Linked DNA regions of Drosophila melanogaster. The protein of the gene in region 1 interacts with the protein of each later gene in a pairwise test. Each region holds a gene or a part of one and is shown on either strand. Other genes may lie near its edges.

Region 1 (3,756 bases):
TTAGTGCGGGGCGTGGCGGGTCAAGCAATTGGAGAAACAAATAATAAATTGGACGCTGAAATGCAAAACACACACACTAAGCACTATAATTAAGTTGTTGACCCGACCCGACTTGACCCTCACTGAATCGGTTTGGGCCAAGATGCGATGCACAACAACAACCAACAACCAACAACTGACAACTGACAGGCGCATAGGCCTCGAATTAATTAATATGTTTGCATAGCACAAGATGCAGCAATACAGCAATTATGAACTGGCACGGGTGTGTCCCGTCATTCTCCCTATTCCCCCCACTAATTACCAATTTTTAAGTCCTCGAAATGCACTTAATTTTCCACTGATATGGATCCTCCCTTTCGCGTTCTAATGTCCGTTGTGGCCTATTGAACACACCCCTTGGTATTTGGCCCACCTTACCTAAATGAAACGGCACGCGCCGCTGGAAATTTTTCACCAAACATTTTCAACATACCTCTGCGGTTTTCCGGACGTTTTTATAGTTCTTCTCAAATTGCTCTAATTCGTTAAGTTATAAAACCGGCCGCCAAGTTTTCAGATCCATTTACTTTTATTGCCACGGCGGCGGTCAATGAACCAGAAGTCAAAAGGACTGCCCAAAAAGGACGACACATGCGTGTTAATCTCTAATTTGCTAGGTGATCATGTGGATATATATATATATACATATATATATATAGATAGAATGCATACATATTCAACATCACAGCGGGTAGTTGATAGGAGCTTGTTCCATTCGTATCCTTTTAATTGCCAGACGTCGCCGTGTTTCGAATTTCGGTATCTAAAGTTGTTTTTCCCATTTTAATGGCGCTATTTTCATTAGGCAAATGTATGCTCGCCTTATTCCTTTCAATTCACTCCCAAAAAATGTCGACTCCTTTATTTTTTTGTGCCGCTCATTAGCATATAAAATGTATGAGTTGTCCTTTATTTGAGAGGCAGTGGTTGTGCTCGCCAGCGAATGGGTCTGTATACACAATCCACGTTTATTGCATATTCATCATTTTAATTGCTTGTTTTCATACTAAATGACTCGATAAGGCTTTTACGGCTATTAGGCGCAGGCATCCTGCGGCTCGACAGTTGGGTCATCTGTATCCATATTTAAAGGATACTAGGAGGAACTTGGTCAGATACGCCAATTTGAACCGAAGTGTGTTTAGCACGGATAAATAAACTCTTTACTTTTCCAATTCGAAGACAAGCCTGGCTTTGGAATCCTTCAAATGAAATTAAATACTGCAGGACTCCAGCTAAAAGGACAAAGGAAGCAATTCACGTAGAAAAGTGCAAACGAGATGTAGCCGAGGGAAAAGGCAGGCGAATGGGGTCCCGATATGATTACTTTTCCTTTTGTTTTCCCATTTCGGAACTCGGAACTGGGGAAATCAAGAAAGCGTGGTGGAAAGAACAAAGGAATTACTTTGCCAACGAGTGAACGAATATGAATAAAAAAGTGATCAATGCAATGAAAATGATTGTCTGCTCATTGTACCGCTCCCTTTACAATTGAGCGCACAAAGTGCGAAAAGATGAAAGTTTGCAAAATGTATCAGTACTTTAATGAAAAGGAAAAACAAATAATTTGAAAAACGAAGGTTTTGTGAAGGCAAAGTTCTGAAGGGGTCCTGCAATTTGGGTATATTAATGAAATATTTTACACCATTTTTGTGCTACACCTACCTGGAGTCCTGGATTAATCCTTGCAGCCACACCCGGAAGAGGAAGGACATCGACAGGGGTTGCAGCCACATCCGCAGGATCTGGATCCGCAAGAGAGGCACTGCGGCTTGCCACACCCACACCCGCACTCGACCTGTTCCGGCTCCTCAACGGAACAGCTCTGGACCATGGAGATGGTCAGGGCAACCAGGATGATTAACTTTATATTGAACATTGTCTGGCTGTAGAAATCGAAGTCCACTTGAAACTGTGCCAAGGCGGAATGAGGATCGACTCTTTATAGGTTCAACTTGGGGGTAGGGCATTATTTGATCAGTTGATCTTTTATTCTATTTTAGGCTATCACTGCTGATTAAGTAAACGAGTGGCTCTGCGCCTTTTTATTTATCAATAATATATGTTTTCTTTAAATTTATAGTCGATTCAAGGTTGATAACACTTCGTTCTGCGTTTATAATTGATTTGTAAATATTTTCAATATATGTAAATACTATTTACTGGTTTTTAAGGAAAAAAAATGACATTTAACCAAAAGTTAAAGACCAAAAAAATAAATAAATTATGGTGTTGAAAAATAAAAAGCTTTTCAATGTTTAAACATATGCATAGCTGTTTAGTCTAAAAAAGATTTTCATATTCAAAAAAATTTATTGCACTCGTCATTGAATATATTTCTTTATTATTTGTAATCCATCTCCCTTTAAATGAACAAATCAACAAAATAATAAAACAAACAAACAAAGATATTAGTAACGTGATCCAACTGAATCCACCTCACTTAGAAGGGCCAACAATAGGAATAAGTCAGGAATGCTGTAAAGATACAAAATGTATATATTACCGAAAATTTGGAACCAATTCTTTTGACTTACGTTTGCTGTTCTCCGCTGAGAATTTCAGCAGGTGGCACAAACTGTAGAATCTCTCTGTGGCAATCGATCCTGGCTTTCGATTGCATCCACAGGGAGCCGGAATGGGGAATTCAGCAACCACGGGGAAACCCACGCTGCACTTTTTGCAGATGAAGGAACGGCAGAGTTCCTCCGTAACGGGCACAAATGCTGTATTTACAAGATATAAATAAAATACTTTTTACTTAACTGGTTAATTTACTTACGGGATCTACCCTCCTTTTTGCGCTGGTCGCTCTCGATTTGCATAAGGCATTCGTTTTGGAAACAACGGCAGACACAATCCTGAAGAGCCCATTGGTAGTTCCTATAGTAAATATTGCATTTACTTGGGACGCTCGTAGAGTTCTTTATTTCGGATTCAATTTCAGGCTCTGATACTGGTTTTTCTTCGATTTTCGTCTCCTGGACGGCTTGTCCATGGTGGAACCACGAAACGGCCAATAACAAAAGCAGCAATTTAATATTGAACATGTCGTAAAAGTGGCTAAGAATATAACTGTCCCCATAATATCTCATTTGGCTATTTATATTGAATACACTCCACTGTTTTAGCAGTTGTGGCAAAGCGCTTTATTGACTTAGTGCATCTGAAAGTAAAATGTTTGCAGAACGTACGCAAACAACCTTGACTGGCCAAAAAAACACAGCCATAAATTTTCCACTCCAAAAAAAAGCTTTATCACACAGGTTCCTAAAAACAGACTCTAAAAAACATAAGCAACGAAGACTTATAAAATCAGGTAATAATGCACCGTTTTAGGCGCTTAGTCAATCAACTCTTAAGACAAATGTAACAAAAACGTTTGCTGCTTTAAAATGTTTATTCATTATTTTTAACAAGGACGCGTTCGAGGTAGTCAAATTATCATCATCAATTACAAGTCATCTTTTAACACTTCGAGTAGCTGATATAGGCTGAAAGATATAATTATTTATGTTATTAACTATATTTCTATACAAACATCAACTTACGTTTGTTGCATTCAGCTGCGTACTTCTGCAGTTCGCACAGACTCAAAAACTTCTTGATTTCCAGACTGCCCTGTTTGCCATTGCATCCGCATGGCGATGGAATCGGGAACTTGGCCAGCACAGGCCATCCAAGGAAGCACTTGCGCTTGATGAACTTCTGGCA
Region 2 (3,756 bases), on another chromosome or scaffold:
AATGTATCGAAATGTATCTCTGAGATGGAGCTGCGATTAACTACTTGTGGTCTAAACCAACGACAACTTACAGAGTTCTCTTCTTCCTAGCAACAACAAAAAACACTGAAAATCACTCGCGAAACGGAGGAGCAACAATTCGCTGATTGAACGGACTGGGAATTACTATTGGATTTGAAATGTATATATATTTTCACAGGTTCACAGGTTTCGGGCAACTTTCACTTTCGGTTTGGGAAACTTAGGGAACTGAGCAGCCTACACTCGCTGACGATCTGCGGAGCTATGAGCAGCAGCATCCGCCTGAGTTGCCTACGAAGCTTTTCGCATCCAAAAAATGGCTGCCCATATACCACTACAAGCGTACCTATGTATATACATACTACTCCTCAATCTCTTGCATAACCTTCAGCGACAACGACAACAACAGTGGGGCTGAGGAAAATGCGGGAAATTCTCCGGGTGACGTCATTGATTTTTCGGAAACCATCTTTGTTAAGGCCATTTTGCGTGGGCGGAGCTTCGGCCATGCGCGCCCCAAAGTATCCAACAGATACACATGAAATATGTGCGCACGCCTGGTGAATGCTAAAGAAATAATAAAACGGGATAAAGGGAAAGGAAAATATAGATTGTGATGGGGCGACCAAATGAAAAGCTAATTAACAAACTAATTTTGCCACTGTTTCTGACATTTACAATGACCCACAACTTTTTATGAGAGTTTCCTGTCGAATGAAACAAAAAAAAATAACCCTATAATTACTTTCATTTCCCGCATATATGTACATATGTGCGCTTAGATATAGAAGCCAAAGCATATAGATTCCTGGTATATAGAACAAAAACGAAATTTGGGTCAAAGCTAGGCCGCCCGCCCACTTGGGCTATGCAAAATAGATATGTATCTCAGAGTGAAATTGCATCATTTCCAATAGAACGCGTTTCGTAGCATACTTTTGAGGGCCAGAGAACATCTATGGCCATGTTATGCAACTTGGGTAAAGAGCCCAGGAGCAGCAGGACCAAAAAGGACGTCCATCAAACTGGAGAAGCTTAAACAACGAGAACCCTAGGAATACTTGCCGCAAAAGAGTTCCACCCACTCCACTTCCATTCTTATCTGACACACGGAGCAGCTGGCGTAGGATGTTACCACACACTTGGCACTTGGCACTTGGTCCTGCTGCTGCTCCAGCTCCTGCTCCCTGGGCAGGATCCAATGCGTCAGCGTATTTTCGTTGCGAGGGCTCTGGCACTTGAAAAGTGTCTTTCGATGTAACTGATTGCAACTTAAGAAGGCCATTACAGTGGCAATAACTCCCTTGCTAGTCCCTGTGATCCATCTTTTTTATTGAATGCCTGCAATATTGGCAAAATGAAGTCGACACTTGTTCAACATGACTTTCAAAACATTCTCATAGGGCGTAGTGCATTACTTTGTAGCACTAGCTAGAAGAAATCCAACGGCAGTTGCAGAAAGTCCATAAAGCCGTAATTGCACAACGAAATCGTTACTTTTGATGTGGCAACAACTGTGTGAAAGGACTTTCTTCGCAGTTTTTTAATTGTTAATTGCTCAATTGCTTTCTTGAAACAATAAAAACATTTTAGAAGACCTTAAGTGACAAATATGGCGCCTAATAGATATGAATTTGCACCCTACGCCTTAACATCTGCGTAACCCTTTAACAAAACCCATCCATCACAAGTGTCAGACAAATATTTCTGATACAAAAACAGCTCATGGTATTTAGAACCACTAAACATGGCGAAATAAAGTCGCCTGCTATCTGAAAAGCACTTCAACGGCATGTGCTACCAATAATAATTAGGCACTCGGTCTGCACTTATCGCAGATATATGGCAAACAGACCAGTCTGAAAAGGAGGGGGGGATCGGGTGTATCTGCGATAGTCTATCCTCTGATTCGCACTTGAATCTATGACACCGGCAGATAAAGCCATCAAAAACATTTATTATTAGTAAGTGGGATTTTCGTTTGGGCCGGTTTGGGCTCAGTTGAACAACTGCTACCATTTGTAGCGGACAGCTTTATATAAATCCCGTCGAGTTAAGGATTTAAGCATTTCGAGCGGAGCAGGTGCCACGAACAATCGGATTTAATTGAGTCAAACTTTTGGAAAAGCACAGTGAGTTGTAACAGGAAACGGAAACAGAAACAGAAACAGTAACAGAAACAGCAGCAGACATGGACAAACAAAAGGATTATGGGTTTAAGCCATTTTAAGAGCGATGTTTAAAATACTCTCAAAAATAATGGTTGCAATACAAGCATGTCGCCTTGCAGTCCCTTTTAAAAGTTATATGTACATTTTTAAGGAATATTTTAGTTAAAAGAATAGTCATATTACTAAAAATAACAAAGCTTTGAAGAACTATTTATTTGATTTTAATCAAACTAGAAAGCTGAAAGGGATTTGTAAAATTATCAAAAAATAAAACTATGCAGTCATTAAATATTTAATACTTCATTATAAACATTCCTTATTATTAATGATAGCAGATAAATAAATTGAGATAGATACTTTGCATCAGTAGAAATAGTTAGACAGGATCGATACCCTTTCATAAGAGCACAACTAGCGAATGGAATTGAACAATGAGATGAGCTCTCGACCAGAAAATAGGATGCTCACCTGGCTGTGATTGCACGTAGCGCAAGTAGGCCCTGTAACCCAGATAGGCGAAAATGTTTGGAGTCAAGTGCCACCCACGGATGCGGATGGAGCTGGGAGCTTGGGTCTGCTATTCTCGGGCGGCTAATTCAGACCGGGCGTTTCTGGCCAGGGCGAAGCGTCCTCTTTGGCACTCGACTCTCAACTGCCAGCCAGAGGCATCAGAAGCACAGTGGGCCAGGGAATGCTCCGCACCCCGGGGGCCATGAACATTTTTCGTTGCCCGTGGAAAACAAATGGGAGTTTGGGAATTTCGACTGTTTAGCCTGTCATTACGCTGACAAAATAAGATTCCAGCAGGTTGGTTAGCTGAGGCATTTATGTGAGGTATTTTCGACGAGAATCCCGTTGCAAAAGCGTTGTCAGGATGCCAGAATGCCAGGATGCCAGGTGGGAGTCTCAGTTGCGTTCGAAAGACAGGCGATTGCATAACCCCTTTCGGTTTGGCAAATCAAGCGAATGATATTCGGATAGCAAATGCTCGGGATAACAATGGTGTAAGGATTAGGCCCCGCAGGCAAGTACCCCAAACGCTGCTTTTTGCTGCCTATTTTTGAGAGCGCGATAATTGCATTTCGAGCACAATTGCTCCTATTGTACGGGGCCAAACAGTCTCCATTTTGGCCCAGTCCTCCCTGGAGGATAATACGCCCCAAACCAGCGTGAAAAACCCATCCCCCAGTTCCGTAATCTACCCATCTCTTTTCAGCCCAGCGATGGGAGAGCGTGTTGAAAAGCGACAGAGAAAAATGGGGGGATGTGGATTACAGCTCGTCATACCATTGGTCACAATCCTCATCCTGGCTGCGCAGGCGCAGGCTGTGACGTCATCGCCCGTCCTGAAGGACGACACTTTGGGGGATGCTGCTCCGACGGCAGCGCATTCAGCAGCCAAAATCCTTGAAGACGTCCAAACCATCAGCGCAGTTCAGGATTGGAGTTTGCTGTGTAAAGAGCTCTGCGGGTAAGTTTCGGATAAACAGCAATCGAAAACTCTAGGAATTACTGAAAGTAAGGTGCCTCGGCGCAAAGTGACTCAAGTGTTTATTGTTGGCAA

The links.
Region 2: the proteins of CG7606 (region 1) and CG14989 interact in a two-hybrid assay, tested with the Drosophila melanogaster proteins (one large-scale study listed by BioGRID).

What each region holds. Positions count from the first base shown.
Region 1 is NT_033777.3:17,594,728-17,598,483, reverse strand, and holds CG7606 (uncharacterized protein), read right to left. Parts: upstream 1,949-3,756; 5' UTR 1,922-1,948; coding exon 1,721-1,921; 3' UTR 1,708-1,720; intron 1,653-1,707; 3' UTR 31-1,652; downstream 1-30. Other genes in the region: Sgs5 (salivary gland secretion 5), read right to left, coding at 2,486-2,520, 2,580-2,768, 2,825-3,092; Sgs5bis, read right to left, coding at 3,511-3,536, 3,594-3,756.
Region 2 is NT_037436.4:4,085,552-4,089,307, forward strand, and holds the start of CG14989 (uncharacterized protein), read left to right. Parts: upstream 1-2,029; 5' UTR 2,030-2,153; intron 2,154-2,660; exon of another isoform or gene 2,661-3,193; intron 3,194-3,408; 5' UTR 3,409-3,415; coding exon 3,416-3,663; intron 3,664-3,756.